6 separate regions of the Mus musculus genome follow, and regions 1, 2, 3, 4 and 6 are each reported to be linked to region 5. The links are microRNA targets in miRTarBase. Many come from high-throughput screens and were not tested one by one. Region 5 holds a microRNA gene; each other region holds the end of a gene's coding sequence.

The links. Region 5 holds the annotated microRNA mmu-miR-466f-3p (CAUACACACACACAUACACAC, at 3,164-3,184, opposite strand). A microRNA usually pairs through its seed, bases 2 to 8, with sites in the 3' UTR of a target mRNA and lowers its output. Matches are read on the target gene's strand: a 7mer-m8 pairs with bases 2 to 8, a 7mer-A1 pairs with bases 2 to 7 and ends in A, and an 8mer does both.
Region 1: the mRNA of Zgrf1 is a reported target of mmu-miR-466f-3p. The part of its 3' UTR that is shown has no 7-base or 8-base seed match.
Region 2: miRTarBase lists Mrc2 as a target of mmu-miR-466f-3p. The part of its 3' UTR that is shown has no 7-base or 8-base seed match.
Region 3: the mRNA of Grb2 is a reported target of mmu-miR-466f-3p. Seed matches in the 3' UTR shown: 7mer-A1 at 2,297-2,303 and 8mer at 2,261-2,268.
Region 4: the mRNA of Spag7 is a reported target of mmu-miR-466f-3p. Seed matches in the 3' UTR shown: 7mer-m8 at 1,233-1,239.
Region 6: the mRNA of Mfsd14a is a reported target of mmu-miR-466f-3p. Seed matches in the 3' UTR shown: 7mer-A1 at 2,353-2,359.

What each region holds. Positions count from the first base shown.
Region 1 is chr3:127,616,053-127,621,121 of GRCm38, reverse strand. It overlaps Zgrf1 (zinc finger, GRF-type containing 1), which reads right to left. Exons shown (of 26, transcript NM_197997.2): 25 at 4,602-4,863; 26 at 3,099-4,455. The coding sequence ends at 4,319. Among named protein-coding and RNA genes, the nearest start is that of Gm40147, 10 kb to the left of the region's middle.
Region 2 is chr11:105,349,190-105,354,258 of GRCm38, reverse strand. Mrc2 (mannose receptor, C type 2) reads right to left here. Exons shown (of 30, transcript NM_008626.3): 29 at 4,665-4,691; 30 at 3,114-4,560. The coding sequence ends at 4,334. Among named protein-coding and RNA genes, the nearest start is that of Mrc2, 59 kb to the right of the region's middle.
Region 3 is chr11:115,641,909-115,646,977 of GRCm38, forward strand. Grb2 (growth factor receptor bound protein 2) reads right to left here. Exons shown (of 6, transcript NM_008163.4): 5 at 4,802-4,970; 6 at 2,137-4,046. The coding sequence ends at 3,861. Among named protein-coding and RNA genes, the nearest start is that of Slc25a19, 16 kb to the left of the region's middle.
Region 4 is chr11:70,660,046-70,665,114 of GRCm38, reverse strand. It overlaps Spag7 (sperm associated antigen 7), which reads left to right. Exons shown (of 7, transcript NM_172561.3): 3 at 39-127; 4 at 248-332; 5 at 448-537; 6 at 639-795; 7 at 895-1,346. The coding sequence ends at 1,004. Eno3 (enolase 3, beta muscle) reads right to left here. Exons shown (of 12, transcript NM_001136062.2): 7 at 4,233-4,455; 8 at 3,921-4,118; 9 at 3,525-3,726; 10 at 3,045-3,153; 11 at 2,843-2,901; 12 at 2,602-2,752. The coding sequence ends at 2,683. Among named protein-coding and RNA genes, the nearest start is that of Eno3, 5.4 kb to the right of the region's middle.
Region 5 is chr2:10,470,232-10,475,190 of GRCm38, reverse strand. Mir466f-3 (microRNA 466f-3) reads right to left here and starts at 3,238; the gene lies at 3,145-3,238. All of the region lies in intron 10 of Sfmbt2 (Scm-like with four mbt domains 2), which reads right to left. Mir669d-2 (microRNA 669d-2) reads right to left here and starts at 3,547; the gene lies at 3,462-3,547. Mir297a-2 (microRNA 297a-2) reads right to left here and starts at 2,937; the gene lies at 2,848-2,937. It also overlaps Mir466o, Mir467c, Mir466b-1 and Mir669a-3.
Region 6 is chr3:116,628,663-116,633,731 of GRCm38, reverse strand. Mfsd14a (major facilitator superfamily domain containing 14A) reads left to right here. Exons shown (of 12, transcript NM_008246.2): 11 at 1-10; 12 at 1,252-2,568. The coding sequence ends at 1,458. Sass6 (SAS-6 centriolar assembly protein) reads right to left here. Exons shown (of 17, transcript NM_028349.3): 17 at 2,746-5,024. The coding sequence ends at 4,918. Among named protein-coding and RNA genes, the nearest start is that of Trmt13, 17 kb to the right of the region's middle.

The sequences.
Region 1 (5,069 bases), not on the chromosome of region 5:
CAGGACCTTTGGAAAAGCAATCGGTGCTCTTAACCACTGAGCCATCTCACCAGCCCTGGCTGCATTCATTTATATTCCCACCAGAAGTGTACAGGGGCTCTGCTAGGGAGTTATGGAGCACTACTTTAATCCCAGCACTAGGAAGGCAGAGGCAGCCAGATTCTGTGAGTTCAAGGCCAGCCTGGTCTACAGAGAGCAAGTTCCGGCAGCCAGGGCTACACAAAGAAACCCACTCCATCTCAAAAAAGAAAAGAATTGTACAGGGGCTCTTCAGCACTTGTTATTTTGTTTCTTATTGTTATTGTTGTTTTTTGGATTTTTTTTTTAATGATAGACAATGATTGGAGGAAGCTGAACTCTAAATGTTAATTTACTTTGCGTTTTATTCATGTCTAAGGATGCTGAACATTTTGAAATGCATTTACTGGCCATTTGTTTTTCTTCCTTTGAGAATTATCCAATTTATTTCTTCATTAAATGAGTTGGCTTTTTTGTAAGTCCTATTAGGTTATGTTTGGTGTTTTGGAGAGGAGTGGGTGTCACAGCATGCATATGGAGGTCAGAGGTCAGTTGTGGGAGTTGGGTTGCTTCTTTCTTCATGTAGGATAGGTGGCCAGCACCTTACCCACTGAGCCACCTTGCTGGCTTGTCGTTTTTACTTCTTTATAGATTCTGGAGATTGACCTAACAGATGTGAGGCAGGCAGGGCTTTTCCTACTCTGTAGGTTGTTTCTTCACTCTGTTCATTGCTTCCTTTGCCTTGCTTAAGCATTTTAATTTCAGATCTTGCATTGTCAGTTCTTGCAATTATTTCTGAGTTAATTGGGGTCATTTTCAGAGAGTCCTTCCTATATTCTGATAATTTCCTTTAGTAGTTTCTGGTCTTATACATATATGTTTAATCCACTTTTTAAAAAAGATTTATTTATTTATTGAATGTATGTGAGTACATTGCAGCTGTCTTCAGACACAGAAGAAAAGGGCATCTGTAATGGTAGAGATGGTTGTGAGCCACCATGTGTAGTTGGGAATTGACTTCAGGTCCTCAGAGCAGTCAGAGCTCTTAACTGTTGAGCCATCTCTCCAGTTCTGATTCATTTTTAAAAGTTGGTTTGAGTATAGGGTGAGATATGGATCAAGTTTTATTCTTCTGCAGATCAATATCCACTTTCCCGGCACATTTATTGAGCAAACTCTTTCCTCTCATATATATTTTTGAACCTTTGTTATGTTGGCTGGAACCATATGGGTATATTTCTGGGTCCTCTATAGAAATCCACTGATTTTCATGTCTGGTTTTGTGCCGTATAGTTTTGTTACTGTGGTCTATGGTATATTTTTAACTCAGAGATTGCAGTACTTCCAGAACCAAGATTTCTACTAAGACTGTTTTGGCTTTTTGTTGTTTCTGTTGTTCTTTCTTGTGGTCTTATACTGATTTTAGGATTGCTCTTTCAGACTCTCTAAAGAATGTCACTGGAATTTTTTTTTATAAGGATTGCACTGACAAGCCTTTTTATAATATTAGTTCTAGGGGCTAGTGAGATGGCTCAGTGGTTAAGAGCACTGGCTGTTCTTCTGAAGGTTCAAATTCCAACAACCACATGGTGGCTCACAACCATCCATGAGATCTGACTTGAAGACAGCTACAGTGTACTTACATATAATGATAAATAAATCTTTAAAAAAATATTGATTCTGCTACCCTATCAGCATAGGGGATTTTCCTGTCTTGAGTCTTCAAATTCTTTCCTCTTGTGTTGTAAAATTTTCATCGCAATGTTCTATCCTTAAGTTTATTCCTAGAAACTTTATGTTTTGTTTGTTTGTTTATATTTATGTGTATGACTGCTTTGTCTGTACCACATGCATGCCTGGTGCCTGAGGAAGTGATGTGGGTGCTAGGAAATCAAACCCTGGGTACTTCGCAAGAACAAGAGCTCCCCTCTGGGAGTTGGTGCTTTTCTTACAGCTTTCACATTGTTTCTTTATTTTATAGTCTTGGTTTTAGTGGTATTCAGACATACATGAAAACAAAACCATCATGTACATAAAAATAAACAACTGAAAAATTAAAAGACAGACATGCAGAGGCAGGTAGAGCTCTTGAGTTTGAGGCCAGCCCGGTCTACAGAGTGAGTTCTAGGACAGCTAGGGCTACACAGAGAAACCCTATGTCAAAAAAATAAATAAATAAATAAATAAATAAAAAGAAAGGAAAAAAGAACAAACCCAAAATAAACAAAGAAGAAAGGTGAGAAGAGTAGAGGAGGGGAGGGGAGGGGAGAGGAGGGGAAGGGAGGGGAGGAGAGAAGGGAAAAGGGAGGGGAGAGGAGAGGGGAGGGGAGAAGAGAAGAGAAGAGACGAGACGAGACGAGACGAGAAGAGACAAGAAGAGAAGAGAAGAGAAGAGAAGAGAAGAGAAGAGAAGAGAAGAGAAGAGAAGAGAAGAGAAGAGATTTATTCTAGGCTCCTGTCTGCAAGCATTACCAAGTATCATTAACAGTGTCAGGGATTGGTTCTTGCCCATGGGATGGGTCTCAACTTGGGCCAGTTATTGGTTGGCCATTCTCTCAGTCTCTGTTCCATCTTTGTGCCTGCACTTTGTTTCATATCACCCACTGCCAGGAGTCTCAGCTAGAGTCATCCTCATAGACTCCTGGATCCCAGGTCTCTCGTATGTCCTAGAGGTGCCCCCACCCTCAGGCTGTCAATTTCCATTTATTCTCCTTGTCCTCTCTCCTCATCTCTCCCCATACCTGGTCCTCTAAGAGGCTCCACCCAGCATCTAAATGAAATGGATGCAGAGACCCTCAGCCAAACATTGGACAGAGCTTGGGGAGTCTTATGGAAGAGTGTGGGGGGGGGGGAGAATTGAGGGACATAGAGGGGATAGGAACTCCATAAAAAGACCAACAGAGTCAACCAACCTAAGTCCTGGGGGCTCCCAGAGACTGAATCACCAACCAAAGGACATACATGGTGGTCCTTACCCCCTACATACACACACACACACACACACACACACACACACACACACACACCCCACTGCTCTACCACAAGTGTGGTTGGAATTACCTTTTTTTTCCACATAAGAATTCCAGAGACAGTTATCATTTTTTAATAAGTAAATAACCGTTATAACTATAAATAAATAACCATAAATAACCATTTTAAAACTATACTAATTTAGCATATTGTGAAGGATGGGCGCTGTGAGCCACTGCATGTGTGGAGTCTGAGGATAACCTGCAGGGATCAGCTTGCCCTGCTATGTACCATGTGGGGGATCCAGGGCTGAACTCAGGTTGTCAGGCTTGGCAGCAAAGTGCTTCTGCTTACCTCGCCATCCTGCCAGCCCTAGACTGGGAAGTTTTTATTACAAGGAAATCTGGGGACACAATTTTCAGTACTCTTAAAATAATTTCTAAAATGATTCTCAGAATAAATACTAAATGACTTGGGTTGTCCCTAAATGTTTTCCTTGCTAAAAATAATACCAATTAGGATTAAGACTGACATTTTTTTCTACCTGGATATGAATATATTCCTTTATTAACAATACCTAAGAATCGTGTAGACTCAAGTGGTTCAAAACTTACATGTATATATTTATAGAGAGAATATACAGAAAAAGACTGAATATGTTAATGATTATCTGAATAGTGGATTTCTAAGTAACTTTGGTTTCTTTTATATAATCTGTATTTTGTATATTTTTCTATAAGAACATGTTAGCTTTAGAATAAAAAGGACTTTATCCATTTATTCTACTACATATATACTAGTAAGTTCTGTCCAAGGAGATGTGAAGAAACCTGACTTACCGAGCAGCAGTGCAAAGGACAGTGCTGTGTCCACCTTTCCTCTCGTGCTTCTTTATTTAGCTTTTTATTATCAGTAGTTTTAGCTGTAAAATGGTGGGGCGATGCACGGGTTCCAGTCTGTCAGAAGAATCCACTGTGGGAGCTGTGCTCAGCACGCAGACTTTTGGGTTTTTTATGTTTTTTTGTTTTTTACTCAGTTGTGTGTTTTTTATGCATACAGATAATCTCAGGAATGGTTTCCAGCCTCTTGTAAAACTTGTTACTTTCACAAGCAAAATATCTGCCTGTCACACAAGCATCTGCAATTGCCTATCTTAATGTATAGCACACCTTAAAGAGCACATTTTCGCATGCACTTATTCAGTACATTATTTTAAGTAATGAAACTTGTTTGTATCAGGGACTTTAGAGTAAAGAAAAACATTAAGAATAAGTACAAAAAGATTCTGAATTTACAATAGAAACACCCTTGCCCAGATTTGTTGTCGTTGTTAATGAGATTTATCCTTTGATTTCTCTTTCTCCTTTTTTTTCTGTTTTTCTTCTGCTTGTTTTTCTAAATAGTCTTTAAGAAGATGGTCCAGCTGTGGTTCACACTGGCTTGCATGCTGCAATCCGTCTTCCCTTCCTGAAAAGATACAGAACACGGGAATCGTTCCTTACCAAAAGGGGCTTCCACATTACTGTCCCCTCTGGCATCTCCCAAGGGGCCATGGGCCCAGTGATTCCTTACAAATCGCCCCTGAGTCAGTTTTAATTGCATTTTTTTTTTACCTTCACAGTGTTGGATCACACGCCCCCATAGTCGATTTTTCCTCAAACAGGACAAACTTCCTACAATCAATAAGTGTCTCCTTCCTCTGGTCAAAGCAACGTTCATTCGTTTCTCTGAGTCAATGAACCCTACTTGTCTTGTCCTCACGCAGGACAGAATAGTGATTTCCTTCTCGGCACCCTGAAAGGCATCCACTGTGGACACCTGCACAGCTTTAACATCAGGATGGCCGACGTCCACAGCACTGAGTAAATTGCAAATCTGCAGACAAACAAACAGGGTCAGAAAATGCAGAAATCAGGAAAAACTCCATCTCTAAACTGGGCAGTTCAACCATTCAGGAGTAAATTCAGGAATATTTTTCTTTCTTTCTTATGACTCACATGGATTTAGGTAGAAAGTATCTAAAATTGGAAATGACAATATTATTTGTGATGAATAATCAAAAGTGATTAACCTATTGCAGG
Region 2 (5,069 bases), not on the chromosome of region 5:
ACACCTCGCACTTTCCTCAAATTCCAAGGGAGGAGGACAGTGCAAATCTGCAGAAGCTGATGGAATTACAGTGTCAGAGGGCCAGGTGTCTCCCCCTGCCTGGCACAGCTGGACACCCTACAGTAACAGAGGGCCAGGTGTCTACACACACACGCACACACACACGCACACACACAGCTGGACACCCCACAGTAACAGAGGGCCAGGTGTCTCCCCTATGGACAGCTAGACACCCCACAGACCTCAGGGGTGTCTGGAAGTAAGACAGTATGGATGGAACTAGAAAAGTGTCACTGCCTGGGATCCCCAGAAAAGCCACCAGCCAACTGATAAATTCAGTATTTGGCTTCTCTGAATACATGGCCTTGAACCTTGGTGCCTGGCAGTTGCTCAGACCTCTTTCTAGTGTCTGTAACTACTTGCTTTTCAGACAAGGAAGGGTTAAAGCCAGCCCCTCCCCTTTGATGCAATGGAGCTGATTCTGATGGGAGCCAAAGACTGAAGTCAGCAGTTCCCTGAGGCCTCTTGGCAACACCCTCCTAAGGAAAGTCAGGCCTGCGGGAAGATCTGGGCACTTTCTTCTCATGCTGGACCCTCTTCAATCCCTCATTTGTCCTCTTCTGACTTCCCTGAGTGTCTCCTTTCTGCCTTCCCTCACGATGCTAGTTCTTTACCTCAGGTCTGCCAGAGACTCCTGCCCCACTGGTCCAGGCAGCTTGACCAGGTTTGGGCGGCTCTGTTCCAGGATAGCCATGTGGTGAGGCTGGCTGGCTCCTTGCCCCTGTGGCCTCAGAGAGCTGCCCACTGGGCCAGGCCTGCTCTGCCAGGGTACCTGGGAGGAGGCCATCTCTGCTTTGATAGGAGATAGGGGAATGCTGTTCTCTGGAGAGCTGCCCTGTCTTCCCATTCATTCATGGATTCATTGAGCTGTCACTGAATATTCAGGTGCTCGAAGCTGGGCCAGTTCAGACCTGCAAGGGAAAGCTGGGCTCCGTGCCTGGTAGACAGTGCCCTTCGCTCAGGCCTGGGACAGGTCTCAGGCCATCTGCCACTCAGCAGGCTCCGCAGAGAACCTGGCACACAGAAGAGATGCTTCGTGGTCAACTGAACTGAGCCCCACCAGAAGATAGAAGTCCTTGTCACATGTTCTAAAACTAGAACTGGCTGGGAGCCAGAGGGCAAGTGGCCAGGTCCAGAGCCTTCTTCCTGACCACTCAGAGAACTACGGGAACATTCCCTAACTCTTCTGCAGGAAGGCTTAGAACATACTCTCTGGGGAGCCCCCAGGCCTAAGAGGCTGTAGGACAAACTTGGATTGAATGTGGCCTCTGGCAAGACTCCAGTCACCAGAGAAAGAAAAGGAAAAATTAACTTGTCAAGGTTTGGGGAGTCAATTCATGCTTGCCCTGGAAGGGTGAGGGCCTGGGTTCGAATCCTCAGCACCCACATAAAACCCAGGAGCAGCAGCTGCCTATGCTCGTAACTCTTGGGGGTACAGATAGGTAGATTTCTGGGGCTGCTGGGGTCAGTAGGCTTGCTTACCCAGTCAGCTGCTGGCATGCACATGCTCTCTCTCTCTCTCTCTCTCTCTCTCTCTCTCTCTCTCTCTCTGTCTCTCTCTCAAATAGATGGGTGGCACTGGACATTTGGAGCCTCATTCCTTCAACTACTCAAATGACCCAATAGAGCTCACACTGCTTTTTACCACGCTGCTTCCTTCTCTCTCAGGGCAATGGTCACTGGCATCCCTGCCCTCAGAGCCGCTCCCAGCAGCCTGAAGAGCAACCCTTGAGCCACAGCTAGTAGCAAAGCACTCGACTCACAAAGGGGCTACTCTGGCCTCTGTTTGGAGAGCAAATCACTTGAAGGTAAAGTGGGTTAATCATTAAGGACCTTACTTTGGATTGACGGTCCCTTCCGTCCCTTCCGGAATGCCTGGCCTACCTATCTCCCATGGGTCTTGTGAGAGCTGCAGAGTAGGGACAGCTGGAGGAGCCCACACACACACACACACACACACACACACACACACACACTCAGGAATGCAGCTCACGGACTCTCTAGAGTTCTTCTGTCTTGGGCGGTCCCACCCATTCATCCTGCACATCTGATCCCGGCAGAAAGCAGCTGATCTGCTGTCCCCCTGGGCAATCCAGATCCCATGTTTCCTAGTGGCTTCCCCCAGCCTGAATCAAACATTGGAAAGAGACTCGGAAAACCATCATGGCAGGAGCGTCCAGGGTGGATGGGCAAGGGAAGGAGCGAGAACATTCAATGGGTGTCTTTATGTATTCTTTTCACTCCTTTAGGCTCTGAACCACATGACCACACTGCCTATCCAAAACAAGTAGAACTAAGATTTTAAAAGTCCTGGACAGGGTAAGCCTGAGAACGCACAACGCCTCTAAACCACCGCTAGTGTTCCAGGCCAAACCAGCCACCATCTTCTGAGGTCTTAATGATTGCAAGGGCTTCCTCTGCTTCCCCTCCCCCATCTCCCATCCATTGTCTGTGTCCCTTACCGCGGTTACAATGAACTTGTTAAAGATCAGATCAGCCATTCCCACTGGCAGCCTTCCTTACAGTATCCACCATGCCACTGCGTCCTGGCCTGCACCCACTCAGCCACACTCCTGCAGTCACCCTGTCGGTCCTCTGAGACATTAGGGACCCTCTGCTCCCACTCTGGTCCAGGTATTCATATTGCTCACCCTACACACACACACGCACACACACACACACACACACACACACACACACACACACACACACAATGTAATAAAAAAAAACTTTAGAAATAAGAGTAGCAGTTAGCATTTATGGAGTGCTTACTGCATGCACTCAGAGGCACTTGGTAAGGACACTCACCACATCCTTAAGCATCTTTCCGACAGCCCAACCCTAGGAGATCCTCTACGCCCTATTCAAGCTGATGGGACAATGAGCTCAGGTGCCCAAGTTCACACGCTTGTAGGCAGGGACGACTTGTCTCCTGAGGAGAGCCAAAAGCTCAGAGGCAAAATGGCAGGCTACAGAAACAACTGGACAGAGCTGCCATCTGTCCCTACAGGGCTGCGGGGGTCAGACTCTGCAGAGAAGGAGGCACAAACGCTGACTTCTCAAGCCTCTGGAAGGTTTTTATTTGTTTGCTATTCTTTTTCTCTTTTTCCTTCTTTAAAAAAAAAAAAAAAAAGACAAACAATAATAGCACATTTCGAGAATCAAGAACTACAATAGAGGGTCCGCTTTGAGTTTTTGTTCACATCGTCCTGCACTGGGACACGGGGACTGGCACTCTCCATCCTGGCTGGGACTCTCCTCTGGAAAAAGGTGCTGAGTGGTTCCATGAGTTGGTCTCCTAGGCCACACCAGATGGTAGCACCTGGTGCTGTCCCAGGTTACAGCCTCACCAGCGCCCCTCCCCCTCCAAACCATCTTCCCTCTCTCCAAGCCAGAGCCAGAAGCCGGAGACATTAGGGAACTTATTTTGGTCCCCACAGGGGACTCTTTCAAGGACAGAGCCCTCCCCTGACCAGCAGGAGATGACACCCTGTGAGTGGATAAGGTGTCTCTCCGAAGTTCCATCTCTACTCCAGCAGACACCACACCGGTGCCCTGGTTTGTACACCTGAGCCACCTAGGCTCCCTCCTGCCATACCCTAGGTCCATTCCAGCAGGCACAGGAGTGACAGATGCTTGGCCAGCCTCTTCAGCTGACCCCCACCCAGAGAGAAAGAGAGAGAGAATGAGAGAGAGAGAGAGAGAGAGAGAGAGAGAGATCACCCAAGTCCCAGGGCCATGGCTCAGAAGGAGGCACTGGGTGGAAAAAAAGGCACGAGGGCAGGGTGAGGAGACAGAGCTGATGTAGCCGAGTAGGAGAGGTGACAGAGAGCCACCCCAAGGGACGGGGCAGGCTTTCCAGGCCTACAGATAGGAAAGAATCCTAGGCTGCAGGTCAGCAGGTTTAGGCTCAGGGATCTGGGGAGGAAAAGACATGAATAAGCTCATGTCCCTTCTCATATTGCCTCCAGTTGCCATGGGGTCCAGGTCCAGGTGACACGATCCCAGGCCCAAGGGAAAGGGGAACATGACCCACTGCCAAGTCTCAGCCTAGCCTCTATGGTAGGCTGGGTACTCCCACCCCATGGCAAGCTATGCCCCCGGCACCCAGTAGCAACTCCCAAGGGTTGCCATCCAAAGACAACTGGGCTGATGGGTGATGGGGGCCTGCTGACCTGGGGCCCCTGCCTTACCCGCTCTGGCTCCACCCCGACCACGCCCTTGGGGCCCCTGCCTCCCCCGCTTTGGCTCCACCCCGACCACGCCCTTGGCTCTATTCTTGCTGTTCGTTCATTTCCATGTCAGACACCAGAATGTTCTTCTCGGTGGCCTCTGCGGGGCCAGAGTGGCTGCTGCGACTGTAGCGGGCCCCCTCGAAGGACCCACGCTCCGCACTCTGTCGGCGCCGGTAGAGGATGAGGGCTGCCGTCATCAAGGCCAGGAGGAGCAGCACCGCTGTCAGCACCACCACCAGGGCAACCGGGCTCTCGGGGAGGGCTGCTGAGATGGAGGTGGGGAGTTCACATCAGGCCCCAGTCATGACCACAGGGACAGAGGAGCCAGCGAAAGAACCAGGCCGGGGCTCGCTCATTCCCTCCACTCACCTGATGGCAAGAAGCTGTTCTCTTCCACTGTAGGAGAGGAGAGAGCCAGAGAATCACAATCAGTCCTCACAGAAATCATAGTCACAATTTAAATAAGTGCCTGTGAACTGCTTTGTGAATGTCACCTTGCAGAGTCACTGAACCTCCCAGGACTCTAGGACCTGGCTTCTACTATTTCCGTTCTATATATGAGGAAGCTGATGGGACAGGTGTGTGTGTGTCTATGTATGTGTTCTTATAGGTGAATATAAGCAGATACTTGTGAGTGTGCATGTGCGTAGAGGTCAGAGGTCAAGGTTATTGCACTGTGTCTTCCTTGATGCCTCTCTACCTCGGTGTTTTGAGGCAGGGTCTACCACTGAACCTACAACGTATGGATTCAGCTCATGGCTGGTGAATGAGCTC
Region 3 (5,069 bases), not on the chromosome of region 5:
CTGGAGATGGATAACAGGGAGCAGGCTGGACTTGAACTCAGAGATCCCATCTGCCTTTTCTCCAGAGTACTGTGCTCCAAGGTGTGTCATGCCTGGCAGTCACACGCACACGCGCACACACACACAGTGTCATAGTGTATAAAAGTCAGAGGCCAACATTCCCACCTTCCATCAGATGGCTCTGAGGGTTTGGTAGCAAGTCCCTTCTACCTGCTGCTCGGCCAACTCGACTGGGTTTAATTAATTTTAAGTGGGCTGGCCAAACCCCAGTACTCAGAGTCATCAGCACATGGGACTGTCATGTCAACCATCAACAATGTCCTCCTCCCTTAAACTTTGTCACAGACAATGGAGCTCTCAGTTCTGTAGCCCAGAGGGACCTGGGATGCAACCTGATCCTCCTGCCTCAGCCTCTGGAGTGCTGGGTTACAGGTGTGAACAGCCATTCCCTGTTTTGCTTAGGTTTGTGATGGTAACTACCACAGAGAGGCTGAAGAGACCCCAGAACTCCACACTGGGCTTCATGGTATAGGCCGTGAACATGGTCTTGGCTCTTAGGAGGTGGAGGCAGTTCCCAGGACCTGCATGGCAGCTTACAACCTTCTGTAACTCCAGTTTTAGGTCTGATCCTGTAGGGCACCATACTCACATAGTACACAGACATATATTTAAACACTCATACACATAAAATAAAAAATGTTTAAGAATCTCCAAAATTTTGAAAACAAAACCAAATAAACAAAAAAACAGATCCAGGGCTGGAGAGATGGCTCAGCGGTTAAGAGCACTGACTGCTCTTCCAGAGGTTCTGAGTTCAATTCCCAGCAACCACATGGTGGCTCACAGCCATCTGATGCCCTCTTCTGGTGTGTCTGAAGACAGTGACAGTGTACTCATATACATAAACAAATCAACCTTTAAAAACAAAAAACAAAAAAAAAAAAAAACATTGGGTCTGAAGGCCATCTAGCCCATAAGCAGGCCCAGGAATGGTGTCAAGAGGAGACAGCTGGCTGGTGCTGTCAGATGACCTAAACCAATGTAGCTGTCCATCCTAGCATTTCCGATCTCACTCTGCACCTGGCTCCTGGTGCTCGATGAAGTCTTGGGACCAGGAGGGAGCAGCAGGGCCACTATGATGGGCCAGGTTGGCTAGTGGTATCCTCAAGGTTTTGCATAGCCTAGCCTTTATCATGAGACACATTTGAGCTGGCCCTGGGCACACATACACAGCCTGGATAACTCACCAGGAATCTGACCCAGGGGAGGGGCAGGACACACACTGTGATCACCTGAAGAACAAAGAGGGGGCTCAAGGAGAGTGTGCTTGTTAGCAAGTGTAAAACACTGGGTTCTCAGCACTGGGGAAAAAATGACACCCCCCCCCCCAATCAGGAAGGGGTTAAACTGACACAAAGGGAGTTCAAAGTCAGCCCAAGCTCTCTGCTCAGCTGGCCCAGACAAGCACAGCTCCCTCTCACATGCACATCACCGCAACGGGGAGGAGCAGGTGGCACCCGGGAGCCTCCTAGCCACCAGTTCAGGTGGTTTGCTCGGCAGAATCCTCTTTTGTTCAAGCCTCAACCCTTACCGCGTCATAGCCAGCACCGTGTGGTTACCAACTTTGTCTCACCCAAAAGACCACTGTCACGGCTGTGTCATGTAGCTGCCTCACCGACTTCCTCAGAGATTAGCCTTTCCACACCCTCAGCTCGGAAGGGAAGAGGAGCTTTCCAGCCCAGCTCTGGGTTCTTCTGAGTTCTTGTCTAAACCATTTTCCACATAATGAGCTACATCACTCGTCCTAGGTTCACAGGGTCTGGAGATGCCGGCCAGAGTTAACATACTCTAAGCCTTTACTTTCAACATTTGGGAGCAGAGGCAGGAGAATCTCTGCGAATTTGAGGCCAGCCAGGGCAACATAGTGAGACCCCATCTATAAAATAAAATCAGGACGGGCAGTGATCCCAGCACTTGGGAGGCTGAGATGGGCGGATTTCTGAGTTCAAGGTTACCCTGGTCTACAGAGTGAGTTCTGGGACAGCCAGGGCTACACAGAGAAACCCTGCCTTGAAAAAAATAAATAAATAAAAAAATAAACTGAAAACACCATCAGGGAGAAATGAAGACACACAGTTAAGAACTCATTGTACGTTTATTCACAGTTAATCACTACCTACCAAATTGCTGTCCGCAGAAGTCAGAGTAAGTACATAGTTGGTTTTTTTTTTTTTTTTATTTAAACACTGATCTTTAAATATATACACACAAAACTTAGTTCAGCAAGGCTTCATGATATACACCAATTCCAAAATAAAACAATCACATGGCCCAGGTGTGACTCCAGAGATTACTTTATCATCAGCAGGGAGAGCAGCAGCGGAACCAGGAGAGGTGGGGACCCAGAAGGCCGCCTCCGAGCCTTAGGGGCGCCCTGAGCTGAGTCCATCTCACAATGCTAAGTCCAGGGGAGACTCTACCCGCAAGAGTCTAGCAGCCCATGGATGCACCGACTCCAAGGGAAGGCCTGGGTGGAGCCCTGCTTCTGCTGTGGGAAGGAGGCAGGGTGGAGAGAACGGTGTGCAGGCACGTGACTACAGAGGACGGAAAACTCACAGAAGACAAGAGTTAAAAAGCTGTGCACTGGTCTTGGTCTCTCCTACCTCGAAAGGCTTTGTGGGATGGAGGGGTGGGGTGGGGGGAGGGGCAGCACAACCCACTGCCAAGAGAGATGCGGCCGACCCCACAATCCTGCTATCTGCACCCTTGGACAGGTGGGGAAATACGAGCGTGAAAAATGAAAGGCCAATTCTCTTCAAGCCCATCTGCATGTAGGCCTATAAGAGTGAAGGATGCCAGGGCTCCTCTGACCGTCTTGTGTTTGGATCAGTAGCTCCAGGCATAGAGAGAGCAGACCATAACTGAGACACGGAGACAGAGACTCTGATGTCCACTGAGTCTGAGCTGAAGCGAGTGTTGCAGCTCACAAAGTAAAAGCTGAGGCTTCGAGACCTCCGGCCCATTCAAGATGGGAAATACACTCTCTGCTTCTACCAGCTCCTTTCTCTGTCCTCTTTCCCCTGCCCTGAGAGGAAAATATTTACACAGGATAGGAGACGAATCAACTGAAAAGCTCTGGACTGTCTTTAACTTATTAAAAAAAAAAATGGTACAAATACCATTTATGAACACCCTTGAAATAAGACAAAGGCACTATTTAAAAAAAACAAACAAACAAACAAAAAAACGTCAAAACACCTGAAGGGAAGCAGTGGGAGAGGGGAGGGCCTGCAGTCTGACTCTCAGGAGACCGGGGAGGACAGTGGGCCTCCTTCCCCTAATTCCAACTTTGATGGAATGCTCCAGGCCTGAGGCTGGAGGCGGTACCCCTGGGCATCTCGGGTGAACCCCAACCAGGGCCCCAGAAGCACTGGCTGCCCCTGTGTGTGAGGAATCCGGCTCTTTCAGTCCATCCATCTCCACAGACATTTTGCATAGAGAAAATACCAGCCCACTTGGTTTCTTGTCTTTTATTATTGGCATCAGCTGGACTATATGTGGCCTTAAACATCATGCACTGGACAGGAAAGAAAGAACGAGAAAAAGGACACAGGAGGGGAACAGGGGTAGCGGCGAGATTCCGTAATAAAAACTGTAATTCATTCAATAGGTTAAGTTTTGGCATTATGAAATCAAACACCCCTCCCCACCCCCCAAAGTTGCAACCCAATGAGAGGGTCACCCGTGGGACCCAGCCAGGTGTTCTGCGTTCCCTCACAGGCTGTGACAGGCAGCGTGTGGGTGTAATTCTTGTGAACGGTCTTAACTTTTCACTTTCTTTAAATAATCTCTTTTGCTTCTTAGACGTTCCGGTTCACTGGGGTGACATAATTGCGGGGAAACATGCCGGTCTGCCCGTGGCAGGCCCCTTTCCACCAATTGGGATCTGAGTTATCCATGACATGAATGAAGTCTCCTCTGCGAAAGCCCAGCTCGCCATCCTCCTGGGGGTCAAAGTCAAAGAGCGCCTGGACGTAGGTTGGCTGCTGCAAGAGAGAGCAGGGAAGCGGTGTTTCTCATGCTGCCAGGCGGCCTTGGAAGCTGGACTCCTGGCTCCCCCAGGGAGGGCAAGCATGTGGGAACCCGCCCACTTTCCAAAGAAGCCTCATACCTCACTCCCTCCGCTCTGACACACTCCTAAGTCCTAGGTGGGATTAGAGGAATCCTTTATTAACATTTAAAACCCACAAGGGTATATATACCCATGTCACTAAGAATAGCCAATACTGGCTAGTGGGGAGCAGCAAACACTTTGGGCTGTGTGTGCCAGAGCTCTCTTAACAGGTTTTTTTTTTTTTTTTTAAAAAAAAAGATTTTATTTATTGTTATATGTAAGTACACTGTAGCTGTCTTCAGACACACCAGAAGAGGGCATCAGATCTCATTACAGATGGTTGTGAGCCACCATGTGGTTGCTGGGATTTGATCTCAGGACCTTTGGAAGAACAGTCAGTGCTCTTACCCGCTGAGCCATCTCTCCAGCCCCTCTTAACAGGTTTGAACACACTCTCAGCATTCCCTCACTCGGGCTGTAAACGAGGCAGTCCTAACCAGAACTCCTGCTCATACGTGAGGAGGACTGAGTGCATCCCTCACAGGCTGGCTGCACAGGGACTCAACCACCTGAGTGCCAACTGCAGAGCCTCACTGCCATGAGGTCGGCCTGAGCACACAGGAAGTCGCTGTGGTGTCACGCCTGGGCCTTCACACTTGCTGGAAGTGAGTAAAGCTCTTTGCTTACCTGTGGCATCTGTTCTATGTCCCGTAAGAATATCTGCTGGTTCCTGGACACGGATGTTGATCTGTGGTAATCTACCAGCTCATTCAAAGAATTAAACTTCACCACCCACAGGAAATACTTCCCGGCTCCGTCGCGGAGCACCTTGAAGTGCTGCACATCATTTCCAAACCTGAGGATGGGGAGAAAAACCATGAAGCGGCCACAGGGCTCTGCAGGGCTGCCTCAAACCTGAAGGTGTCCAGGGAACTTCTCTGTCAGGCATAGCTTT
Region 4 (5,069 bases), not on the chromosome of region 5:
GCTGTCATCTCATGTCCTTCCCCTTTGTTTCTCCTAAGATGGAGAAAGAGGTGTCTGATTTCATCCAGGACAGTGGACAGGTCAAGAAAAAGTTTCAGCCTATGAACAAGATAGAGCGGAGCATACTGTGAGTGTCTCTGGGTTGGGGTGGCAAGAAATGGGCAATAGAGGGCGTGAATGAGCCAGTGGGGACCAGTGGAGATCAGACTCCTCATGGCTCACTTACTCTCCTGCCTTCTCTTTACAGACATGATGTGGTAGAGGTGGCTGGCCTCACATCCTTCTCCTTTGGAGAAGATGATGACTGTCGCTATGTCATGATCTTCAAAAAGGTAAAAAGCCTGCCGCCGCCACCCCCTGCCCCCGCCCCAGCCTATCCCTGCACCTGAGAGGAGTGGCATCCCTCATATATTTGGATCTTGACTCTACCTTTCTCTTCATCTCCAGGAGTTTGCACCCTCAGATGAAGAGCTAGACTCCTACCGTCATGGAGAGGAGTGGGACCCCCAGAAGGCTGAGGAGAAGCGGAAGCTAAAGGTGAGCTGTTCCTGGCAGGCCCTGGAGCCCGTAACCATCACCTGGAAGAGGCCATCTGGGTCAGGGCCTTGAGCACCGGTACCCTACCTCTGTGCCCTTAGGAGCTGGCTCAGAAGCAGGAGGAAGAGGCAGCGCAGCAGGGACCTGCGGTTGTGAGTCCTGCCAGCGACTACAAGGACAAGTATAGCCATCTTATTGGCAAAGGAGCAGCCAAAGATGCAGCCCACATGCTACAGGCCAACAAGACCTATGGCTGTGGTGAGCCATGGCAGGAGCTGGGGGAGGGATGGGGGAGAACGTAGTTTGGGGGAGGGGAGCAGAGACTGAGGTCTTGCCCACTCTCCCCTCTGCTGCTAGTTCCTGTGGCCAACAAGCGGGACACACGGTCCATAGAGGAGGCCATGAATGAGATCAGAGCCAAGAAACGCCTGCGGCAGAGTGGTGAAGAGTTGCCAACTACCTCCTAGGCATCCCGCCCACCTTGCTTTGACCTCCAGCAAGGCAGGGGCATGGAGGGACAAGGCTGCTGCTATCAGGACCCATTCTGGAGCCCCATTTCTAACCTATGAGGCCCTGCCAGCTGTCACTCAGGCTGGAGGAGAAGCAAGTGTTTATCACTGCTGGAATTTGGATGTATGGGGTGTGTGTGTGTGTGTGTGTGTGTGTGTGTGTGTGTGTGTGTGTGTGTGTAAAAATGTGTATTTAATCTGTATTATTCTCTATTACCCTTGGAACTTTCTTCCCCGTGGGCCTGGGTTACTTTACATTGAATAAACACTGTTTGACCCAGTGTTCTGACTTGTACCTGGAAATGTGGATACTAGTCCATTGATGGCGCACACCTTTAATCCTAACACTTGGGAGGCAAAGCCAGGTAGATCTCTGTGAGTTCGAGGCCAGCCTGATCTACAGAGAAAGTTCTAGGACAGCCAGGGCTACACAGAGAAACCTTTTCTAGAGAGGGGGAGAGGGAGAGGGAGAGGGAGAGGGAGAGGGAGAGAGAGAGAGAGAGAGAGAGAAGAAATTGTGGGTATTACCTCCATAAATGTGGATTCAACAGTATAACGTTGCTGTTTGTTTAAGCTAAAGATGGCCAATTATTAGCACTGCTACTGTGACACTTTCACATATTTTATTCTTGTGATACTAGATTGAACTCAGGGCCTCATGCCTACTGGGCACTCACCGGGAAGCCAGCACGATGTTTCTTTTTTTAGATTATGTGTATGAATGTTTTACCTGCATGCAAGGATCTGCACCGTGTGCGTGCCTGGTGCCCGTGGTGCTCTGGAGAGGGCATTGGAGCCCCTAGAACTGTAGTTACCAATGGTTGTGAGCTGCCATTGGTGCTGGGAACTGAAGCCTGGTGCCGGTAAGAGCAACAAATGCCCCTAACCACTGAAGCCCCTAAGCTTGGAATCTTGAGACGGGCCCTTACTCCATCTCCCAAGGCCTAAGATTACGGATATAAGCCACCACACCCAGTTAAGGCTGAAGCCAGGCATTTTGTGTCCTAGCTTTTCGAGTTGCTAACTCTGCTGTGTTGAGTAAGATACTCAACTCGTGCCTTGGCTTCCTGGTGTGTAAAAGGGGGATAGATTGGTAAATGGCTGACAGGACTGTTTGAAAGCTTCTGTGGGTTAATACTGTCAAGTATTTTGAACACTTCAGATCCTCACAAGCTCCACTGAAGTGGTAATGATCTCATTATCCTTTAATCCTTGAGAAGCACTCAGTCTGGCTGCAGCCTGATCCAGATCCCTCCAATGCTGGGAGCACCAGGACCCTTCCTCGGCCCCTCTCCATCCACCGCTGTCTACTTGGGAGCCACTTCCACCTCCTCTCCAGCTCCTTTTCACATACAGTTTTGCTTTCTCTAGCTTCATTCCAAACTTTGAAAGTCTCTATTCTACATCCACTGAGCTTTCAAATCCCTTACTTCCTTGTCACAGCAGGTCACATGATATTCTCTGCCTTCTTCCCTGTCTCCCACCCCCACCCCACCCCAGCCCTGTCCTTCCTGGCGAGCTTGTCATTCATTCCCTCCTAAGGAACACAGCATGGTCTGGTTTGGCAGTGTTTATTTCTGGGAGAAGGGCTTGAAGGCCTGTGTCTTTCCTGTGAAAGCCTGGAGTCTCCAGCTCCTCATTTGGCCTTTGGATTACGGAACTTTCTTCCAGCAAAGACAGCTTTGTCCCCAAGAGCCTCCTCAATCCTACAATACAAAAAGAAAATCAGAGCTCCTACTTTCTAACCCAGGAGCGCCTTCCTCTCCCCACGGTCTAGGCCTCTGCACAAATTGTACCTCATAAGCTGGTTGTATTTTGCCAGACGCTCTGAACGGCAGGGAGCACCAGTCTTGATCTGAGGTGGGAAAAGGGTTTGGAGGGGTTGGTTTGGGCCCCAAAAGAGCAGGCTGTAGTGGTATCCAACTTAGATGGCCCAAGTGATACCAAGGTGACCAAGGAAACTTGGTTAGATACTCAGTAGAGAGAAACCCCGAGTACCTGTCCTGTGCAGAGTCCCACCACAAGGTCAGCGATGAAAGTGTCTTCGGTCTCCCCAGAGCGGTGGCTCACCATCACTCCCCAGCCATTAGATTGTGCAAGTTTACAGCTGTGTGGGAAAGGCATTTGATGAGACCTTATGTGACCACCTCAATAAGAAAGTCAGGGGCAGGCAAGATAGAACTTTCCCTTTGTTTGGGCAGTGACTAAGTTCTTTGGGAAGGAGGAGAGATTTCTGATCTTGGATTAGAGTGGTCAGAAGATGGCAAGCAGAAGAACACAAAACAGAAGGGAGGTTAAGGGACATGGCAGAGCCACAATGGCAAAAGTCTTAGAGCCAAGTTGGGGGTCAGTCATAGCCTAGGGGTTCTGAGGCTTGAGTAGGTCAGGGGCCCTGGGAAAGGCACCCATGGAAGAGCAGCAGCAGTGGCTGGAGCCGGGGGGGGGGGGGGGGGGGGGCCTGAGTCAGGAGGCACTCACGCCTGGATGGACTCCGTCACGGAGCCGATCTGGTTGACCTTCAGGAGCAGGCAATTGCAGGCCTTCTTCTCCACAGCCTGAGCAATCCTCTTGGGGTTGGTTACCGTGAGGTCATCTCCCACAATCTGGATGTCCACCCCAGAGAGGAATGAGGTCCATGTGGCCCAGTCATCCTGGTCAAAGGGGTCCTCAATGGAGACCACTGGTAGGGAGTTGGGAGCACAGATGGGGTTAGAGACAGGGGCCTGATAGAGGGGTGACAGGTAGCAGAGGTTAAATGGAGGCTACGGATGAGCTAAAGATGGGAAGGACAGGAATTGTGACAAAGCCAAATGCTGAGAGCCATGCTAGGTAACCGCAGAAGACAAGGGCGGGGGGAGCACCCGGCCGTCTCACCGGGATAGTTCTGGATGAAGTTCTTGTACAGCTCCCCAAGCTTCTCCCCACTGATGTGCCTGGCAGGGTCATCGGGTGACTTGAAGTCCAGATCATACTTGCCGTTGCGGTAGAATTCAGACGCAGCTACATCCATGCCGATCACCACCTTGTCCGGGTAACCGGCTGCCTGGATGGCTGTCTTTAGCAGCTCCAGGGCTGGGAGAGGAGCAAGAGATGACCTGAGACTCCAGTATGGCTGTATCTGCAGCCTCTCTTTCCCCCCACCTCAGGGGCACTCAGGCACTCTGCCCCAGGATGTTCAGCACTGACCCTCATTGTTCTCCAGGATGTTGGGTGCAAAGCCACCCTCATCCCCCACGTTGGTGGCGTCCTTCCCATACTTGGCCTTGATGACCCCCTTGAGGTGGTGGTAGACCTCAGCGCCGATGCGCATGGCTTCCTTGAAAGAGCTGGCTCCCACTGGCAGAATCATGAACTCCTGCATGGCCAGCTTGTTTCCAGCATGAGAGCCGCCGTTGATCACATTAAAGGCCTGGGACACAGAAGTTGGTGCTCAGAGCTGGGTGGCATAGGGGTCAAAGGTGAGAGGGAACTGGAGGTGACAGCTGCGCTCTGCTCCCTAGTTCAATGGTCTAGGATGCAGCACTGCACTCCTAAGAGCCTTTCTCTCTTTCTACAAAATGCTAACAGTGCTTACTTCCCTACTGCTCTGACAGTTAAGGGAAATCAAATATACTTATGACAAGGAATAATTCTATGGCATTCTAAATGCATGACTTGTTTCACTCTCAAAATACTTCTATTAACTGTACACTCTTTTTTTGTTGCGTTTGTTTGTTTGTTGTTTGTTTTTGTTTTTTCGAGACAGGGTTTCTCTGTGTATCCCTGGCTGGCCTCGAACTCAGAAATCCGCCTGCCTCTGCCTCCTGAGTGCTGGGATTAAAGGCGTGCGCCAGCACTGCCCGGCTTAACTGTACACTCTTATTTCTTCTTTACAGATGAAAAAAGTGAGGGACAGAGGTTAAATAACTTGCCTAAAATCACACAACTAGAAAATGGGAAAGGCCAGGGTCTGAACCCAGCCAGGTATCTCCAGTATGGTAACATATTCCGGCCCACGCAGAGCTGCAAGAATGGAAGTGACGG
Region 5 (4,959 bases):
TTCAGTACTGAGGAATCTTAAAACTCTAAGTCACACGTCATTCAAATGGATCGATGAGTTGCACTGATGTTTGTGTGTGTGTTTCTGTTTGTGTCTGTGTACATGTATATATTTGTGTAGATAGGTACAGCCATATACTCAAATCCACACACAATAGAAACAGATACAGATAGGGATACATAGGGGGCATCACATGAATCCCAGGCATATCTCTAAGTCATCATGAAGTAAAGCATGAATTTGAACTCCTGATCCACAGTCTTTCACACCTGGTGAGTAAAACCATTCACTGTCCCACTACTGCATAATCTTGAAAACTTTAAGTCACATATCATTCAAATGTATAAATGAATGCAATTTTTCCTGTGTGTATGTGCTTGCATATACACGTGTGTTTTTGTTATGTATATTCATGTCAACACATGCAATGCACATACAAGTAAGCACACATGCACATACATGGGTGGCATCACATGAATACCAAGATAATCTCCAAATGAAGTTAAGCATGAAGTTGCAATCCTTATCCTCCTGACTTTGTCAATCTTTTACACCTGGTGAGTGAGTCCATTCAATGTCCCCTATTGCATAATCTCTAAAACTCTACATCACTTATCATTCAAAGGGATTGGCGAATGCCATTCCTGTGTCTGTGTATGTGTGCTTGCGTTTATACATGTGTGTGTATGTTATGTATATTCAAATATAGACATGAACATGCACACACAACTATACACACATGCACATACATGGAGGAATCACAGGCTGATCTCTCATGAGGATAAGTATGAATTTGAACTCCTGATACTCTTAACTCTAGCAAGCATTTTCACTCTAAGTCACTTATCACTCAAATGGATTGATGAGTGCCATTCCCATGTGTCTGTGTGCTCATATGTGTCTTATGTGTGCGTGTATGTATATGTATATCATATTCACACATGTACATGTACACACACATCAACACATACACACATTCATAGGGGCAATCACATGAATGCCAGGATGACCTCTAACTCATCATGCCTTTACCATGAACTTGCACTCCTGATCTTCCCGACTCTACCAAGGGTTTTCCCGTGGTTTGTGAGACCTCACCCTGGCCCAGTCATACATAACCTCCAAAGCAGTAGGTCACATATCATTCAAATGGATCCGTGAGGGCCATTCTCGCATGTCTGTGTGCATGTGTGTATAGGTGTGTGTATGTATATGCATAAAATATACACACATATACATGCACGCACTTATGCACAAAGGCACATGCATAGGGGCCATCACATTATTCCAGGATGATCTCTAACTGCTCATGAAGTTAAGCATGAATTTGCACTCCTGAGACTCCTAACTCTGGCAAGCAGTTTTCATCTGGTAAGTGAGATGTTTTGCTATCCCATGAATATACACTCAATGAAACTCTAAGCATGCATAAATCAAATGGATGACTACCATGTGTGTTTGTGTGCACATGTATGTGTCCATATGTGTGTGTATATGTGTATGTATGTATGTATATATATATATATATATACACATATATATATATATATATATATGCATGTTCATATACCCACATTTACATGCACACGTACCTATACACATATACACATACACGGGGACAATCACAGAAATTCCAGGCTGTTCTCTAACTCATCATGAAGTTAAACATGAATTTGAACTCCATATTCTCCTCCCTCTGGCAACAATATTCACCTCCTAACTGAGACATAGTTCTGGCCATTCCTGTGAGTATGTGTGCATACAGCTATGTGCATATTCATGTAGAGAAGTGAATATGCACACAGCTATACACACATGCACATTCTTGGAGGGCATCACATGAATCGCATGCTGATCTCTACTCATCATGAATTAAATATGATTTTGAACTCCTCATCCTCCTGACTCTGGCAAGAGTACTCACCTCCTAACTGAGCCATAGCTCTGGCCCAGTACTGCATAAGCTCTAAAGCTCTAAGTCACATACCATTCAAAAGGATATATGAGTGGCATTCCTGTGCGTGCATGCGTGTATATGCATATTCATATAGAGAAGTGAATATGCACACAACTATACACACATGCACATTCTTGATGGACATCACATGAGTCGCATGCTGAACTCTAACTCATCATGAAGTTAAACATGAATTTGTACTCCAGGACCACCTGACTCTGGCAAGGGATTTCACCTGCTGAGTGAGACCTCTCCCTATTCAGTACTGCAGAATCTTAAAACTCTTAGTCACACGTCATTCAAATGGATCGATGAGTTGCATTCATGTTTGTGTGTCTGTGTACATGTCTATGCGTGTGTAGATATGTATATTCATATACACAATCCACACACAGGTACACGCATGTACACATACATGGGGGCATCACATGAATCCCAGGCAGATTTCTAAGTCATCATGAAATAAAGCATGAATTTGACCTCCTGACCTCCTGATTCTAACAAGCATTTTTAATATGATGGGTGATAACTCTCCCTGACCTAGTCACACATAATCTCCAAAGCTCTCAGTCACATAGATTGATGAGTGAGTGCCATTCCTGTGTGTCTATGTGCTCATATGTGTCTTATGTGTGCATGTATGTATATCATATTCACACATGTACATGTACACACACATCAACACATACACACATACATAGGGGCAATCACATGAATGCCAGGATGACCTCTAACTCATCATGCCTTTACCATGACCTTGAACTCCTGATTATCTTGACTCTGGCAAGGGTCTTTACTTGGTGAGTGAATCCTCTCCCTGGCCCAGTCATACAGAATCTCTAAGACTCTAAGACACATATCATTCAAATAGATCGATGAGTGGCAGTTTTGGGTTTGTGTGCATGCTTGTATGGGTATGTGCGTATGTATATGTATACTCATATACACACATGCACATGCACACATACATATACACACAGGCACATACACTGGGGGCATCACATGAATCAGAAGCTGATCCCGGACTCAACATGAAGTTGAGAATGAATTTCGACTCCTGATCCTCCTGACTCTGGCAAGATTTCCACCTTGTGAGTGAGAGCACTCACTGGCCCAGTACTACATAATCTCTAAAACTCTAAGTCACATATCATTCAAATGAATAAATGAGTGTCGTGTGTGTGTGTGTGTGTGTGTGTTGCGTGCGTGTGTATGTGTGTGTGTATGTATACATATATTCATATACACACATGCACATGCACACACACGTAAACACACATGCACATACATGAGGGGCATAACATGAATGTCTGGATGATCACTAACTGAAATTGAGCATGAATATGAACTCCTGATCCTCCTGACTCTGTCAACAACTTTCACCTGGTGAGTGAGACCGTTCATTGACACACTACTGCATAATCTATAAGACTCTAAGTCACATATCATTCAAATGGATCAATGAGTGCCATTCCTGTGTTTATGTTTATGTTTTTGTGTTTCCGTGCATGCGTGTGTATATGGGTGTGTATGTATATGTATATTCATATAGACACATATACATGCACACACAAGTATACACACATGCACATATATAGGGGGCATCACATGAATCCAGGATGATCTCTTACTCCTCATGAAGTTAAGCATGATTTTCAACTCCTATACCTCCTGACTCTAACAAGGGTTTTCACCAGGTGTGTGAGAATTGACACTGGCCCTGTCATACATAATCTCCAAAGGTCTAAGTCACATATCATTAAAATGCATCGATGAGTACCATTCCTACATGTATGTTTGCATGTGTGTGTATATGTGTGTATGTATATGTATATTCACATAAACACATGTACATGCATACACTTCTGCACACATGCACATAAACGGGGGACATCACATGAATCCCAGACTGATTGCTACCTCATCATGAATTTAATATGAATTTGAACTCCTCATCCTCCTGACTCTGGCAAGAGTACTTAACCTCCTAACTGAGACATAGCTCTTGATCAGTACTGCATAAGCTCTAAAGTTCTAAGTCACATACCATTCAAAAGGATATATGAGTGCCATTCCTGTGTGTGCTTGCGTGTATGTGCATATTCATATAGAGAAGTGAATATGCACACAGCTATACACACATGCACATTCTTGTTGGGCATCACATGAATCGCATGATGAACTCTAACTCATCATGAAGTTAAACATGAATTTGAACTCCAGATCCTCCAGACTCTGGCAAGCGTTTCACCTCCTAACTGAGACATAGCTCTGGATCACTACCGCATAAGCGCTAAAGCTCTATGGCACATATCATTTCAAAGGATATATGAGTGGCATTACTGTGTGTGCATGTGTGTATATGCATATTCATATAGAGAAGTGAATATGCACACAACTCTAACACATGCACATTCTTGGTGTGCATCACATCAATTGCATACTGATCTCTAAATCGTTGTGAAATTAAGCATGAATTTGAACTCCTGATCCTCCTGACTCTGGCAAGTGTTTCACCTAGTGAGTGAGACTTCTCCTTGACCCATTTATACATAGCTCTAAAACATTAAGTTACATATCATTCAAATGGATAGATGAGTATCAATTTTGAGTTTGTGTGTGTGTGTGTGTATTTGTGTGTGTCTCTGTGTGTGTGCATGTTGTGTTGGTTAGTTTATATGTGTATATTTATATGCATATATTAACATGCACACATACATATATGCACACATGCACATACATAAGAAACATCCCAGTCTGATTTCTATCTCTTCATGAAGTAAATTTTGTATTTGAACTCTCTCTTCACCTGACTCTGGCAAGTGTTTTTACCTTATGAGTGAGACTATTACTGACCCAGTACTACATAATATTTAAAGCTCTAAATTATATATCATACAAATGGATCAATGAGTGCCATTCATGTGTGTGTGTGTCCATGCATGCATGTATGTTTGTGTGTATGTATATGTATATTCATATACACATATACACATGAACAC
Region 6 (5,069 bases), not on the chromosome of region 5:
CTTTGAACAGGTAATTCTTCATTCACATACTCTATTTATTTGGCTGGATTAAAGGATATTTTTGAAAACAAAAGCTTTTGTGTAAAACTTTCTAGCATGAATAGGCCTTAAGTAATCTTAAAAACTAAAGCCTGGGGCTGGAGAGGTGGCTCAGTGGTTAAGAGCACTGACTGCTCTTCCGAAGGTCCTGAGTTCAATTCCCAGCAACCACAGTGGCTTACAACCATCTGTAATGAGATCTGATACCCTCTTTTTTGGGGTATCTGAAGATAGCTACAGTACTTACATATAATAATGAATAAATCTTAAAAAAAAAAATAACTAAAGCCTAAGAGACTATTCTTCCCGAGTATCATCTTGCAAAAACTAAAATGAAAAAATCACCTGAAACCACATTTTGTCAATTTGTGCCTAATGGCATGGCAGCCACATCTCCATTCCACCCTGCTACTTTCTTTCCTTCTGACTTCTGGAGTGCTGGGCAGCTGCCATCTATGGCCACATGGAATGTACGCACGGTGGACATTTGTTGACTTGCTTGCTTTATTTCCCAACTGAAATTACCAACCCCAAACCACATGGACCACTGAGCCAATACTAACATCTCTGCAGTTTTCTCGATTAAGCAAGAATTGAACCCCAGGCAAGCCTATTTAATTTTGTGGGCCATATACAACAGAAACAGGGTTTCTGTAGGGTTTTGCCCACAATGAATATGATTTGGGCTAAAATGTTTTATTTTTGTGGTTAGTGGCATTGTATTTATTTTTGAAACACGATTCTACAGGTGTATTATTAACATGTGTAGTTTAGGCTCTGTGCTAAAAGCCACCCACAGTTATCCAAGTTACTTTGCCAGTTTTTGATTTTTGTTTTTAAAGGTTTGAGTACACATTGTTGTCCTCAGACACACCAGAAGAGGGCATCAGATCCCATTACAGATGGTTGTTAGCCACCATGTGGTTGCCTGTAATTGAACTCAGGACCTCTGGAAGAGCAGTCAGCGCTCTTAACCACTGAACTATCTTTCCAGCCCACTTTGCCATTTTTTTGTTGGCAGGATTTTACAATAAGAATAAAAATACCTTTTCTCCTGAAAAGTGATTTTATAGCTATTGCTTCAATAAAGGCATTGACTTTAAAAAAAAAAAAAGAAAATCTGAGCAGACAGTTGCTGAGACATTGGAGGCTGGGGACGGGGGCTGGGGGGAGTATTTGTGCAAAAAACATTAACTATTGTTTCTTCCTCAGAATTCCATCATCCCTGGTCCCCCTTTCCTCTTTGGAGCCTGTTCGGTACTGCTGGCTCTGCTCGTTGCCTTGTTTATTCCGGAACACACTAATTTAAGTTTAAGGTCCAGCAGTTGGAGGAAGCACTGTGGCAGTCACAGCCATCCTCACAGTACACAAGCGCCAGGAGAGGCCAAAGAACCTTTACTCCAGGACACGAATGTGTGACGGAAATCAGGAAGACTTCTCTCTCTCGCAGCACCCAGGTCTTAGTTTTCACCTGTAGCTCTGGATGTACATTCCATTTCCATCTGCAGTGTACTTTAAGACTGTCTTAAGAAATACTTGCATGAACTCCGTGGGAACTAAAGAAAGAACCGGACAGTTTTCCAAAGATGTTACACTTTCTTTCAAAAAGAAACCTTTTGTTTATATTAGCACCACTCTCTTGCCACTAAACTGTTTTATTACACATCTTTAATTAAAGCTCTATCTGTAACTCCGTCTCTGCCATTTCCTTAGGTGTTGAGCCTTTACCTGCTCGTGCTGACTCAGCGACACTAGGCAGGATGGTTATGGACCTGTTTGCTTTAACCTTGTAAAACCTGAGTCATTGTAAAATCTTGGGTCAAATAATTCAAAGCCTTAATGCAGATGCACTAGAAAAGAAATGGTAAAGAATTGTTTGCATTTAAAAGAACTTGTGAAAATTGTAGAAAACCAGAATCATGTTTCAAGCTTGTTTGCCATAATTTTATTTAAAGCATTATTCACGGCTGTTCTGAAGAATGAAAAGATCAGCCACTTAGAATTCAAATTGGGGTGGTCAGAGCCTAGCCATCTGGCTCAATCTGTTTAAATCTGTTCTGCTTCTTATACCACTATTCTTTTGATATTTGCATAATCATAAGGACCTCAACACTTGAATACATAATCTAAAAATTATATAGTAAAGCTGGTAGCCTTGAAAATGTCAATGTGATATCTATATGTAGATAAATATATATAGTGGCCTTTCAGGACTGTCACAGTAACACTTTATTTACAGAGCTAATGTTTGTCCTAAATTTTCAGGACCCTAGAAGAGAGCTTTATACAATTACTGATGTGAATTTCTCTAAAGTGTATATTTTTGTGTCCAGTTATATTATTTAAAAAAGTGTTACTTTGTAAAAATGTACATAAAGTATTGTATAGTTTACACTGTTTTCATCTTGTGTGTGGTTACTGCCTAATGCTTTTTAAACTTGGAGCATTCACTATGATTAAATAAGGTCTCAAATGTAAATATTCTGTTAATAAAATTAAATATTTTAATGATTTTTTTCTTTTTAAAAAGGTCTTGATCTGTGAGTCCCTCCCTGTAAGGCCGGTTTAGGCTTTGTTACAGTAACAAATCCTCTTACCTTAACTTACCTTCTGCAATCCATTTGCTGCCCTCACCTCACCTCACCAAAAACAAAACAAAAAGCCTGAAGATAAAAATAACGAAGTGTGTAGGTCAACCGGAAATGCTTGATTTCCTAAGCACAGTTAGTCTTTTATTTCCTAAACATGCTTCTTGCATATAAAACGCTCAAGCCTCAGTGCTTTATTGACAAAGGTCACAGCTTTCAGAAATAGCAAAAAGCAACATTCTGATGGTTAACACATGTACAGTTATACAACACAAAACAATTTCAGACAAAAGCAGAAGAGGTAGAGCAGAGAGTTGGCGCTATCTGTGTGTGTGGACACTTAGCACAGAGACAGGTCACCAACACCCTGCGTGGAAATGAGCTGTCCTATCGTGGAAACAGGTTTATAAATAGTAAGGGGAGGGTATCTCTTCTAAAAAGCTATATATGTCTTGTATCCCTTTCCAAAGGCTGCCATAGCTCTTAGGTTTATTCTATAGTATTTACAACAGTCCTGTGCTGCATAGAGAGACTTCTTTCCAGAATAAGTGCTTTCAAGTAGTTATAGCAATATTCTTCCCATCACTGAACTGTGATAACAGCCCTCGTTGAAGACAGCTAGCAATAGCCATCATCCTGAAAGTGAGGCTAAAGATTCTACGTCACTGTCTCAAAATGTCTGCAACAGTGTAAAGTACTTGAAAAAAAATGTGTATAAATGTTTTGCCTAGAAACCACATGCATGCCTGATGCACTCTGGGTGACAAAATTGTGAGCTGTCATGTGGGTGCTGGGATTAGAACCCACATCCTCTGAAAAGAGTAGCTAGTGCCGATCATCACTAAGCCATCTCTTCAGCCCCTTGAAACTTAAAATATCACATGATTGTTAACATTTTACAGATAAGATTTTTGGGGTCTTGGAATTTTAATTTCCTTTGGGTGGTTGTCAACAAGAAAACAAAATTAGACCTCTAAGATTATAGAGGGTTGTTTTTGGTTTTTTGTTTCATTTTGTTTTTTAAAACTACTTAATTTCAAAGGAATAGTTCTTGGAAGTTTTTAATAGTGAGGAAGTTGTAATTTCCAATAGTTAACTCTCCTCCTGCTTTATTAACACTGATGACAAATTTTAATATTATAAAAAGTCCCATGAACTTTTATGGTGTTATTACACTGATGATCTTTATGGAATGCCCAGATGACTAAAGCACTTCAGTCATGTAAATACACTGTCCCAATGATTTTTATATAAAAATTATTTCAGAGAAAATGATTTACTCACTATGAATACTTAATTTCACTCAAAATCCTTAAGAGTGTCACTAGGTACATCAACCAAACTCCAAATGCCCATACCCAGGACTTGACTAGCACAAGGTCGAATACACTGTTTTGGGTTTGATTTTTTTTTTGGGGGGGGGGAAGGGGGTTCGAGACAGGGTCTCTCTGTACAGCCCTGGCTGTCCTGGAACTCACTCTGTAGACCAGGCTGGCCTCCAACTCAGAAATCCGCCTGCCTCTGCCTCCCGAGTGCTGGGATTAAAGGCGTGCGCCACCACTGCCCGGCTGGTTTGATATTTTTATCTTACTGATTGGTTATTTTTATTTTCTTTTTTAAGGGAGAAAGAACATAAAATTGGGTGGGTAGGAAACTGGAGACCATCTGGGAGGAGAAATTATAAACCAAATATATTGTGTAACTCAGGCTTGGTGGGTACACAGCTTTAGTCCTAGGTCTTGGGACACAGAGGCAGGTGGATCTGGGTTTGAGGCCAGCCTGGTCTACATACATAGCCAGTTCCAGGACAGCTTGAACTACATAATAATAGACCCTGTCTCAAAAAAAAAAAAAAAAAAAAAACTTTGAAAGTTGTATGAGAACTGAATGTAAAGTCAATGTAAGGCTCAATGGTCACAGGTGGAAGCTCTCCCAGCTCTCAGGTGGCAGATTAAGATTTTTTTTTTTTTACAATAAAAATGATCGAATGAATCACAAGTCTTCAGTTTATATTCCCTGCAGGTGTATCTTGATAAAGTGTCCCTAAGCAGACCAACTGGTAAGAATCTGATACAATCCAGTGACTTTTTGAAACATTCTGTTTTGTTCACAGAAAAAAAAATACCATTTACTCAGCATCCTTATCAATTTCCTAAATTTGTAAATGGCAGCAGTATTATAAAGGATCCAAATGACCTAACAGGAACCAGAAAAAAATTGATTTTGTTATCAATAGTCTGTTAAATCACTTGAATTCCTAAACTGTCGGTGAGCAGTAAAAGGTGTTGGATTAACTACTTGGTAACTGCCCAGGGAAGTAGGCTGAAGACGAGGAGGGGAGAACGGTGGGTTTGGAAGATAGCTGGAACGCTCCCAGCATGCCGTCTTTCTGATGGTCTGCAAGAGACAAAGCACGTAGCATGTCACTGCTTTAAGCACATG